Linked DNA regions of Mus musculus. The main gene of each other region encodes a partner of the protein of the gene in region 2 in a complex. Links are inferred from orthologs where the notes say so. Each region holds a gene or a part of one and is shown on either strand. Other genes may lie near its edges.

Region 1 (4,296 bases), on a different chromosome or scaffold from region 2:
TTGGGACACAGATCTACCACGCAGCCCGGCTCCCCTTTGAGATCCCCCACCTCTCAAGCACCATCTGAGGAGTGTGCACCTATGCCTGCAAAACTTTCTGTGATGTCATTTCCTGGGGCTGGACAGATGGCTCAGCAGTTACAGAGCACTGGCTGCCCTGGTAGAGGGTCTGGATTCAATTCCTAGCAGGCACACGAGGGCCTATAGTCATCTGCGCCTTCAGTCCCAGGGGGTGCCACACCCTTCCCTAGGCTTTGTGGCACCAGGCATGCATATGACGCAGACAAGGTGACTATTCACACGCGATAAAACAAAACAAAATAAAGAATCATTTGCTAGACCCAAGGGTGTACTTCAGAGGAGTCCATCACTTTCCCACACCCCCCAAACAAAAGTCCTATGCCAGCCAATATGGCAGTCACTAACCACGATTTGCTACTGATTACTTAAAATGTGAAGAGCGTTGGGACTGTGGGGTACAGGGTCTCACTCTGTAGCCTATTCTGGTCTTGAACTACTGTCCAATAACTCTGTTCAGCTTCCAGATACTGAGACCACAGATAGGATGAATCGTATCTATATTGTAGCCTGGCTAAAAATAAAATTTTCATTTTTCTTTTCTTTTGAGACAGGGTTTCTCTAGGAAGCCCTGGCTGTTCTGAAACCACTCAGTAGACCAGGCTGGCCTCACGTATCTACCTGCCTCTGCCTTCTAAGTACTGGGATTAAAGGCCTGAGTCAACACATCCAAATAAACTTCAACAGCCCTATATAGCCAGGCGACTACTGAATTCAGCAGCCGACCATGGCAGCTATAGCACAGTGACTAGGACCCGCTCACCTTACAGGTGACGACAGCTCCCACATCTGGAAGCAACTGGGACTCTGTTTCTCTCATCACTGACACCACGGGAACCTGTGGAGAAAATAGAAAGGTCAGTGTAGTGGCTAAGTAAGCCTTGGTTTGAGAAAGCAGCCTGTAGATTAGTTTTTAGCCTATAGCAGAGGACATCAGTCATTTTAGGAAATAGAGGATCAGAAGCCATTAGAATTAGGTGGCCAGGTTTAATATAGCCTTTCTGATTAGTTGTAAATTACTGAAGATTCTCTTGGAATTTCCTGGTACAAATCCTTTTGCTTATAATTATGAATATCCTGACTCTTCCAAGCTATACTTTTTTTTTTTTTTTTTACACTTCATAAGTCAGATCTTGCAATTAAATGCTACAGAATGGCAACTCTTGTTTTAGTCCAATGGCAGCTGGCAAGTACCATCTTACCTCTCTTGCTTGGTGCGGTTTCCTCACCTTACTAAGTCCCTCCCATGTCAGTGTCCGTCTAACCCATTCTCTACAGGAGGATCACATTCTTTGCTCTCCTCCACCTCTACTTATATTCAGATGACTAAATCCTGTCACTGTCTAGAATGCACAGAGCCTGTTACATGTTCTTATTGTACCGCACAATTCTTTTGTACATTTGCTCATGATTTCTGTCCGCCTCCTCAGTAAGAAAAGCTGTGTATTGGGCTCGTGACTCTATCCCCAGTAGCAAATAAGGGCAGCCCTGAGCAGGTCACATTGAAAGTGCTCAAGAGACATCGATGCAGTGACTAAACACACAGGCTGAGGCTGACTTTATCTCCAGAACCAACAGACTGGAATCTGTTTTTACAAATAAGCTCAACACAAAGAGAGATGTTTAGGTCTAGCCAGTTCCTAAAGAGTTTTTATTTTTTCGGGAGATTGGATCTGTGGTCCCAGGGTCAGCATACTACGTAAGCTCTGTACTGATGAGCCACAAGTCTAAGGTTTTAGTTTTTATTTATTTTTTATCGTCTTACATGTATCAACGATTGCTTTTATCTGTGCCTGTTAGAAGCTGGGGATACGCTGGTGTACCACCAATCGTGGCTCCACTTAAATGTCTAGTTGGGCAAGAATCTAGTGATCAAGAGTAACATTTAAATAAGTGCCCTGGAGGGAGATTCTTGGGCATATCGATCCTTCTGCCACCAAACCCACTTTTTTTTAGTCAGAAGGTCCAGAAGGGCTTCTCTGGGAAAAAAAAAAAACAACTAAAAAAACCGATTAAATAAAGGGGTTGAGCAGGAGTGTGTTCCAGATAGACGACACGTGAATTGCACAGGCTTCGCGACAAGAGCGAGCTTAGTGCACTAAGACACTGGAAATCGCCAGCATTACTACATTGATGTCAGTGACGTGGGACACATGAAAGCGGAGGGGTAGTCGAGATGTACCACGTGAGGAAGCTCTCGGCTGGCTGGGCTACTCTTACATTTGCGTGCTTTTCCCTCCACTTCCTTCTGTGTGCATCCACAGAACTTAAGTCAGATTAACCTAACGGGTGTGCGGCCGGTGTGCTTCAGCACAGCGCAGAGATCACAGCCGGGAGACCAAAGCGTTCTGCGGCTGAGCCACCAAAGACGCGTCCGCCCGCTCTGCCTGTGCCCAAGGACCGGAACTCAACGGCACCCGGAGAGGGAACGCGCGCTGGGTAGCCGCTTCCTTTACCGCGCCATTCTCGCTGGTCTTCATCAGGCAGCCAGCCAGCGACGAAAAGATGTAGCCATGCCGGGTGTAGGTGCCGCTGCCGGGGCTGCCTTCCTCCAAGTTACACAGACGTTCGCCTGCAGAAGACAAGCTGCCTCAGCCACGGGCTCCCAGAAGCTGGTTGCCACACAGCCTGGAACTGCGTGCGGAGACCGCTCACTTACCGGGGATGCAGTACCTCACCGGTGGTGCCATGCTTGCCACCATCCACAACCCGGATGAGAACCAAGACGACTTCTCATTGGTCAGCTAGAGGAGCGGCCTCGCAGTTACACGAGTACCAATTGGCGCCTTCGACCGCACGGGGTGTAAGAGCGAGGTCTGACTCCATTTCCCAGGCTGCCCCGGGACAGATCTCTGGGCGTGCCTTTGCGGGCTCCGGGCCTCGCGCCTGCGCAGCTGGGTGGTGATGGGCGGGCGGCGGGTCCCGGTCCGCTGGCTAGCGCTGTGGGCTGAGGGCCATGGTGGGTCAGCCTTAGCTCGGCCCGGCCTGGGTCCTGAGCTGGAAGGGGAGGCAGTGGGTGGCGGACAGGGAGACTGGGCCTAATCTGGCTGATTGAGAAGCTGGCAGGAGGCAGGTAAGAGTAAAGGCGCGGTTCTTGCTTCCCATCCGAGTCCCGGTGTCCAGGCCTTTAAGTTAAGTTCCTGATCTCTCTACGACCTGCCCTGCGTGGATGCGTCCTCCTAGGTCCGAACGCATTTTCAGCCCCAACTCGCCCATTTCATGAGTTTGAAGACTCAGATCCAGGTTTGCTTTGTACAACAAAGTGTCGAAGTTGGTTCGAGACAGCCCAAGCTTAAGCCGATTTTTTTTTTTTTTTTGGACCTGAGCCCATCATAGATGGACCCTGCTGCACCTGGAGACACAACCTTTTTCTAGTTTTGTAGAACGACAGTTTCTTCTCTTGCAGGCAGATACTCTATAGAGTGTGAGCTCCTTAACTATGAATGAGCAGCTTGACGTTAGCATAGCATTCCTTTTGCTTTTTTTTCCCTTTTAGCATGTTAGCCGGGAAAGAAGCCTTCATTAATAGAATATTGTGCTTTATTGATATCTGACATCAGCTTGAGGTGGCAAAGGTTCCGGGAGCAGCAGCTTTTTCCGGATGAAATTTGCCATGACTTTGATCTCACTTTCATCTATTGGCTCTGGAGTTTATTGCTCTCTCCCCTTCCCTCCCTGTCAGCCAGGCTTCTTTGAGATACAGATGGTGATTTAGGGGAGTGCTCTTGCCTGCTAATCTCTAATCTGGTGGCAGATGGCCACTGTGGCCTGTGGGTCCTACTGAGAGGTGGCAGTACTTGGAGTGTGGAGAAATTATGCTGGCTTTATTCCTCCTCCGTGCATTCAGGTCATTCGTGCCTTCCCGCCACATTTAGATGTAAATACGACTTTGCTTTTTCTCTGTTTCCTGAGGGAAAACTTTTTCACTTGTGGCCCATTTAATACGTCTTTTTCTAGCCTCGTCATTATCCTGATATCCCATTAGGCTGAGGGGAGAGGGTCCTGGTCTCACTCTGTTCACTCAGAGTTGATAGGCACCACAAGCTTTCCATTTTACGGGTTTGATTTCCGGTTTGATTTGTCCTCTAGGTTATTGATCTCTAGAGCTATGATTCTAATACTGGTTTTATTTCTTTGTTAATCAGAAAGGATGAGCGCAGCAAATACTTGGGTGTTATCACATTGGTGAGAGTGTCTTTGCTGGCTCCTGTACAGCTG
Region 2 (3,500 bases):
CAAAATGACCAAGTGATAACGGGCGCAGCCCTCAGCAGTGGCTAGCTCCTCTGTATACTTTATTTTCCGTCCTTGTAAGGGTGTTGCAGTAACTGATGTATTTAAGGGTAGTTAACAGAATGAATAGAGTTCCCTAGTTTCCAGTCTGGATGTCTTTGTTTCCCTCCTGCATTTTAAGGTGCCCTCAGCAGGATTTGTGTTGGGCTCATCCTAGAGCGTGACAGGAATCAAGGTTTTGGCCTAAGTGTGGGGTGGGGTGAACACTTACTGAGCTGGGGCTGAAAGGGAGAGAACAGTTTGCTGTGGAGAAGGGGAAGCAGCTGCTGGCAGTGTTCACCTTGTGTTTGTTATCTTTACAAGTGCTCAAGAGCCATTTGTGTGGCTATTGATATCAGGTGGCTTTGTGACTCTACCACCCAGGCGCTGGGATTGTGGATAATTCCCCACCTTGCCCAGCCTCTCACCATTAGAACTCAGTGAGCTCACTGTAATTGAGGGAGCTCTGACCAGAAAAGAGACACAGTCCAATGCCTGGGCCTTAACAAAGGGCATTTCACCCTTGGAATCAGGGTGAGGGACCAGCAAAGTGTCTGAGCCAGGCAGGCAGTGTGGACATGTAACAGCTTGCAGTGAGCAGATGCTTTAAGGATAGCTAATGAGAGTCTGAAGTTCCCAGGTCTAAACAGTAATTATACCCATGTGCTAAAAAAGATGGTTATTGCCTCCCTTCTGTTTGTTCAGCCTCAGACACTGTGTGGCCAGCCCGCTGGCTATTGGTAAGCTTCTGTTTTCTCTTGCAGATACAATGGAGAGGTCGGAGACATTGTAGTGGGGAGAATCACAGAGGTAAAGTCAGTGTTCATAAAGAGAAGGAGGCTGGCGGCTCAGGGATTGGGGCCTTCATCTGTGAAAGTATGAAGAAGGGGCCCTTTGTTTCTGGGGTGGTGTGAAATGCTATCCCACATTTATTTCTCTCACAGGTTCAACAGAAGAGGTGGAAGGTAGAGACCAATTCCAGGCTGGACTCCGTCTTGCTCCTCTCATCCATGAACCTACCTGGGGGAGAGCTGGTGAGTGCTCGCCTGCTCTGGAACTGTCCGGTCGGTCGGGCTGTGGGGCTTTGCTCCACCTGAGAAGTCTGCTTCACATGAGGTTGCTGTGGTTTTGTCACCAGATCTGCTACTTTGGTGAACACAGAGGCTTTTCTTCTAGCCCTGTGCTCTCAACATGGGCAGCAGCTTGTGTGTGGTAAGACCAGAAACACCCATGGCGTGGGCTCCCAGGAGGGAGCTGAGAGGAGGCTCTTGGGTCTTAGGATCTTAGTGCTGATTTCCTTTCTTGATGCCCAGCCTTGCACAGGGAAGGTGTCTCTTGAGGGGTTTGCCTTAGCTTGCTTGCTTTTTGGAGTGTGGGGTGGGTGGGGTTGAGACAAGGTTTCTCAGTGTAGCCCTGACCTGGAACTCACTATGAAAATCAGGCTGGCCTGGAACTCACAGATGTCTGCTTGCCTTGACCTCCCAAATGCTGGGATTAAAGTCATGTGCCACTCTGCCCTGCTTGTCCTTAGTTTTCAGTGACTTGAATGGTACTTGGTTATTGCAGACAGTGACAGGCTTTTGTCCATATCATTGTTGAGTCTGTCATATATTTTGGAGAGGCTCCCTGAGCTGGGTCCTATGGAGAGTACCAGATAAAAGGATGCACAGCTGAGTCCCACAAGGACCATATTATAGATGGGCGGAGGATATGTGATAACAGAGCTGTAAGGTAGCAGGAGAACGAGGAAATACAGGCACCAGAGAACAGATGTTCATAGTGGGACCGTGGAGTGAGGTTGGGGACTCAGGTGAAGGGAGATATGTGACCAGAGACAGCCTGGTGTGAAGTGTGCTGGGTGAGTGGGGCAGTCACAGTGAGTGTGCAGTTGCTCAGGGTCTGATTGTCAACTCAGGGTCCCACTGAGGAGAGCTACTGTCCTCTCCCTTGCTCCCACCTCGTCCTGGCGACCTCTTGTCATAATTCTTCGTATTACAGTACCATGGCTGGCTTCAAGCAGAGAGCAGTGGTGGGGAGAGCCCTTCTGAGGGGCTGTGTCATGTGTTCGTTTGTGCTTGTGTGTTTCAGAGGAGAAGGTCTGCGGAGGATGAGCTGGCCATGAGAGGCTTCTTGCAGGAAGGCGACCTCATCAGTGTATCCTGCACCTCATTCTCTCTCCCCCACAGGGCTGCGAGCGTGTCGGACTCTGTCTGGCCAGGGGAACAGAACCTTGTGGGACTGAGTCCAGGGTACCATGTTCAGGGCTCTGCTGCCCTACACTCATTTTCCTTAGCTCAGAACGATGCTCTGGGTTTTGTAACTTGTGATTCATGGTGAAGATCCAATGGTCTTTCCTTTCTTATTATAAAGGGTAGCCCAGGCTGTCTTGGAACTCACTGTGTACCCCAGGCTGGCCTCAAATACACGCATTCTTATTTCAGCTTCCTGAGTGCTGAGATGTCAGGCATAGGCCATCATTCTTGCCCATGGACCTGCCTGTGTCCAAATTAAGAAAATGTGGACCCAAATTTTCTTTGTTTGTTTTAAAAAATATTTGATCATATTTGTTTGTGCAATTGCTGTGTGTGGAGGTCATAGGACAACGTGCAAGAGTTGGTTCTCTTCTTTTACCTTGGTCTGAGGGATAGAACTCAGCTTGACAGACTTGATGGCAGGTGTCCACCTCACCAGCCCGCAGATGATATGACCATGTATCCATGAAAAGGTTGGTTGTAGCAAGATACTCTTGCCAACCAACCAGGGGGAAGCTGAGGTCATAGTGATATCTCCCATAGAGGGCCATCAAAGATGGCCAGAGTGACCTGCTGGTGATGGTGGTGGGGGAGAAGCTGGCTGCAGGTAGGTGGCACAAGGGAGGGTTGCCAAGGCTACTGTTGTTCCTTCATCACATGAGTAGGCGGAGGTCCAGGCTGTGTTCTCGGATGGAGCTGTTTCTCTGCACACGAGGAGCCTGAAATATGGGAAGGTAAGACAGGCTATGAGGCTTTAAGTTCAGTTCTGAATCCGAGTAGCTCCCTGCATGCTGACCTAAAGACCTGGTAGTTAGCTGGGTGTGGGGTCATGAGCCTATAATCTCAGCTCCCTGGAGGCAGAAGGAGGTGATTAAAACTGGAAGCCAGCATGGTTATATAGAGAGACTGCCTCTTCCTGCATGACCCCCTGCCCCCAACCTCCAATCTAAGAACAAAAAGCAACAACACAGAACCCAGTTATTTTGGACTAGTGACCTACCAGGATAGGGGACGTCTCCCGCCGGTGGCCGGGCAGAGTGGTTGGCATCCTAAATCCATTTCCTCCTAAGGAACCTGTTCTGGTAGAGCCCCTCTGCTTGGGGCTGTGAGGCTGTGAGGCTGTTCTTTCTGGGAATGCTCAGCCCAGCATTGTGAGGCTGGCCGCATGTCCACAGAACCATGTCTACAGGGCCATCATAGTGCTGCCAGAGA
Region 3 (4,022 bases), on a different chromosome or scaffold from region 2:
GGCTTGAGCCGCTCCAGCTGGCTGGTGTGATGTTCTAACTCTCCTAACTCTTCAGAACTGAATGCGCCTTCCCTCCAGGACACCTGTGTTGTTCTATGTCACACTCATCTCTCCAGAGCATACTCCTTTGAATATTCTTGCCCACAAGGGTGCATCGTTGCTGTCTGTGACAGCGGTGCCCTAACTCTCCTAATAAGGCCCACCTGAAGAGTAATTTCAGCTCAGTGTTCTTTCTGTGAATCTATCTTTTATCTATAACAACAACAACAAAACCTGAGGACTGTTGATTTCATATTCCGAGTGAAAACACTCCAAAAAAGTGTATACTAAATGACCCAATCCTTAAAAATAAATCAGAATTCCGGGCTGGTGAGATGGCTCAGTGGATAAGAGCACTGACTGCTCTTCCAAAGAAAGGTCCTGAGTTCAAATCCCAGAAACCACATGGTGGCTCACAACCACCCGTAATGAGATCTGACGCCCTCTTCTGGTTTCTGAAGACAGCTACAGTGTACTTAGATATAACAATAAATAAACATCTAAAAACACACTTTAAAAATAATCAGAAAAAAAAATCAGAATTTCAAGCCCTACTATACAGATGCATATATACAACTGCAGGCCCTTTGTGTTTGTATTCAAGTGATAGAGAAACTTATTGGGCAAGGTAAGGGAGGGAAACTTATGGATTTAACCAAGGAAATGAAAAAAGGAAAAAAAAACAAACAAACAAACTAAGCCACAGAGATAATAATCATGTGTAACAAACAACTGTGCTTAGCTAAACTGACCACGGTAAAAACCACGCGGGCAGAGGACCAGGTTTGATTCCGCAGCACTCACACAGTGGCTCACAGCTGCCTGTAGTTCCTGATCCATGGGATCTGACGCCCTCTTCTAACTTCCACAGCACTAAGCACACATGTGACGAATAGACATACAAGCAAGTAAACACTCATACAATAAAAATAGATATACAATTAAAAAAAATAAGACCAAAAAATGTCTCTGCTCGGGCCAGCATCTCCAACAAACCAAAGACGTCCGGAAGCCAGTCTTCTTGGCGTACCTACTCCAACAACCCGGGAGAAGCACAAAAACCCGTTCGCCTCGGGCCTTCCGTTTCCCGGAACTGAAAGGCTTAAGTCGAACATTCAGAAAGCCGGGGATGCCACAAGCCGCAGTTCCCTTTGACCGGAAAGCGACTAGGCTACCGGAAGCTATAGTTCACCGAGACTGAAAAGGAAACGTACCGACGGAAGTCGTAGTCCTGAAGGTCCAGGTCGAGCTGTCGGAGGCGGAGTCAGGACTGTACATCATGGCCGGGCTGGAGCTCCTGTCCGATCAGGGTTACCGGATAGACGGTCGCCGCGCGGGGGAGCTGCGCAAGATCCAGGCGCGGATGGGCGTGTTTGCGCAGGCCGATGGCTCGGCTTACATCGAGCAGGGCAACACCAAGGCACTGGCGGTGGTCTACGGGCCGCACGAGGCGAGTAAGCGGCGGGGACCGGGGGCTCCTGGCCGCACATCAAGGGAGGAGACCTAAGTCGTACGGCTTAACTCCTGAGCCCATGCAGCAGTATACTACAATCCCATCTGAGTCCCTGTGGGCCTCCCGGCAGAAAGCATCTCACACAGGTTGTCCCAACGTGTTGTAGCGGGGATGATGTGAGAACCTGGCTTCTTTTGACTTCATCTTACGAGCTCTTTCTCTTGGCCGACTTCCATTTCAGTCCTCTTTGTGTTGCATCCTCTAAGCAGTGAATATAATTATGCCCTGAGTTCTCAGGAAAATTGCGTCCCTAACATGGCCCTCAAATTTGTGTGTTAGGCCCCGTGAGGTACTGAGAATATCGGTTTCTTTAAGAACCCAGTTATGTTATGTGATTATGTTTTTGTTTTGATCCCACGTGTGGGGTATGGAGCTGCTTCAGATTGCCCTCAGCCACTATGATTTGTCTCATGCAGGGACCGGGGGCTTGTGATCCCACCTCGAGGGAATATACCTGTGTCTTACAGCTTAAGTCCTCCGTCTCAGTGGGCCCTCTGCTTAGCCTTTTTTTTTTTTTTTTTTTTTTCTCACGGGCTGCCCGCTTCATCTCTGAGGTGCCTCAGCCAGCCTGGCGAAGCTCCACTCACTCCCTGTTCCTTCAGCTCATTCTTCCCACATCTTGTCAGGAAAAGGCCTCTCAGGCTATTTCTGCACCTACTACATCGATTTTCCTGGGTCTTCCACCTTGCTTGTTTCTCTACGGGAACATAAACTCCTAAAACAAGGACATTAAATTATCTGCCTTTATTGCTGTGTCGCAGTGCTGTAGCAAGGCTGGCAAATGTGCACATTTTAAGGTTTGCTAGCATATGGAGCTCGGCTTTCTAGGTGGATGATCAGGTATAGAACACATGAGGGAAGACTTGGTAGGGAGAGGGACAGTAGATCAAATAGAGTTGAGGAGTTACCAAGGAGGTGAGGACCCAGGGCTTTGAAAGTCAGGGAAATTGAGATTTTTTTTCTTTTACATTACTGTAATGGGAAGCTTCTGGAAGGTAAGTAAAATATTAGTGTGTGGGTTACACAGTCAAACCAGATGTTTGTAATCATGGTGGCCACAATGGGAATAATTTGGGAGGAAATGGAGAAACTGAAGAACAAAGAGTTGGCTGCTAAAGGTGACAATGCTTTGGCTTAGGTTGAGAAGTAGCCCCCCCCCCCCACTCAGCTATGATTTGGAACCAGAGTAGCTGGGGTTTTGTTTGTTTGTTTTAGCACTTTAGAAAGAGGAGGAGGAAGGTTGAGCCATCGAGTGCGTCCCAGGAGGTAGGCAGGCCTGGCTCATTCATTCTTTTTCCTCTAGATCCGGGGCTCCCGGTCTCGAGCCCTGCCTGACCGGGCTCTAGTGAACTGTCAGTACAGTTCAGCCACCTTCAGCACAGGTGAGCGCAAGCGAAGGCCTCATGGAGACCGGAAGTCTTGTGAGATGGGGCTGCAGCTACGACAGACCTTCGAGGCAGCCATCCTCACACAGCTGCACCCCCGCTCTCAGATCGACATCTACGTGCAGGTGAGCTACCTGCACCGTCAAACCCCTCCCCCGGGGGCGGAGCTTAAAGCTATGTGGGCTGTCTGAGATGCTGCAGGATGCGGATGTCAGTCCATCAGATGTCTTGATGCCCCCTGTAGGTGCTGCAAGCAGATGGTGGGACCTACGCAGCATGTGTGAATGCAGCCACGCTAGCAGTGATGGATGCTGGGATACCTATGCGGGACTTTGTATGCGCATGTTCAGCTGGCTTTGTGGATGGCACAGCACTAGCGGACCTCAGCCACGTGGAGGAAGCAGCTGGAGGGCCCCAGCTCGCCCTGGCCCTGCTGCCCGCCTCCGGCCAGATCGCACTGCTTGAGATGGACTCGAGGCTGCACGAAGACCACTTGGAGCAGGTGCTAGAGGCTGCTGCCCAGGCGGCCCGAGGTGTGCACACTCTGCTGGACCTTGTCGTCCGACAGCACGTGCAGGAGGCCTCTGTCTCACTGGGGGACTGAGTGGCAACCACCCCTTTCCAGAATAAAGGCCTGTTCTTCTCCCGAGTACACCTTACTGTACAGCACTTAAAAGCTGCTCAGGGCCCTACAGCGCAGTTTATAGTGCAGTCCCTAAGTGGAGAGAGCACTTGTGCTAGGAAGAGCAAGGGTGCACCTGTTGTGCCTGCCCAGATATTAGGGTCCGCAAAGACCCCTGGGAGTATGAATCTGCATGCGAATTCAGACTTTCTTCACCCTTAAGCTTGGACCTCAGACTCCTCCAACACACCAGATTTGTGCTGAGAGCCCTGAGCCTCAATTAGGCAGGGTTTTTATACTAGTTTGATCAGGGAGCAGGGGTCTCCTGCCTGTCAGTTGCCTTATTTCGCAAAGTTATCTTTTTTTTTTTCCTGTTTTTTTGAGACAGGGTTTCTCTGTGTAGCCCTGGCTGTCCTGGAACTCACTCTGTAGACCAGGCCTGCCTCTGCCTCCTGAGTGCTGG

What was found. The genes of interacting proteins can lie anywhere in the genome.
Region 1: Exosc2 (region 2) and Exosc1 share a complex: the UniProt entries of both Homo sapiens proteins name them as parts of the RNA exosome core complex. The link is inferred for Mus musculus from reciprocal best matches to the Homo sapiens genes EXOSC2 and EXOSC1.
Region 3: Exosc2 (region 2) and Exosc4 share a complex: the UniProt entries of both Homo sapiens proteins name them as parts of the RNA exosome core complex. The link is inferred for Mus musculus from reciprocal best matches to the Homo sapiens genes EXOSC2 and EXOSC4.

What each region holds. Positions count from the first base shown.
Region 1 is NC_000085.6:41,930,515-41,934,810, forward strand, and holds the start of Exosc1 (exosome complex component CSL4), read right to left. Parts: upstream 2,801-4,296; 5' UTR 2,781-2,800; coding exon of another isoform or gene 2,769-2,780; coding exon 2,738-2,768; intron 2,651-2,737; coding exon 2,535-2,650; coding exon of another isoform or gene 2,496-2,534; intron 917-2,495; coding exon 842-916; intron 1-841. UniProt on the Homo sapiens protein: Non-catalytic component of the RNA exosome complex which has 3'->5' exoribonuclease activity and participates in a multitude of cellular RNA processing and degradation events.
Region 2 is NC_000068.7:31,673,715-31,677,214, forward strand, and holds part of Exosc2 (exosome complex component RRP4), read left to right. Parts: intron 1-800; coding exon 801-846; intron 847-980; coding exon 981-1,070; intron 1,071-2,124; coding exon 2,125-2,190; intron 2,191-2,651; exon of another isoform or gene 2,652-2,953; coding exon 2,954-3,022; intron 3,023-3,500. UniProt on the Homo sapiens protein: Non-catalytic component of the RNA exosome complex which has 3'->5' exoribonuclease activity and participates in a multitude of cellular RNA processing and degradation events.
Region 3 is NC_000081.6:76,326,175-76,330,196, forward strand, and holds the start of Exosc4 (exosome complex component RRP41), read left to right. Parts: upstream 1-1,222; 5' UTR 1,223-1,253; coding exon of another isoform or gene 1,254-1,318; coding exon 1,319-1,489; exon of another isoform or gene 1,490-1,517; intron 1,518-2,855; coding exon 2,856-3,062; intron 3,063-3,181; coding exon 3,182-3,541; 3' UTR 3,542-4,022. UniProt on the Homo sapiens protein: Non-catalytic component of the RNA exosome complex which has 3'->5' exoribonuclease activity and participates in a multitude of cellular RNA processing and degradation events.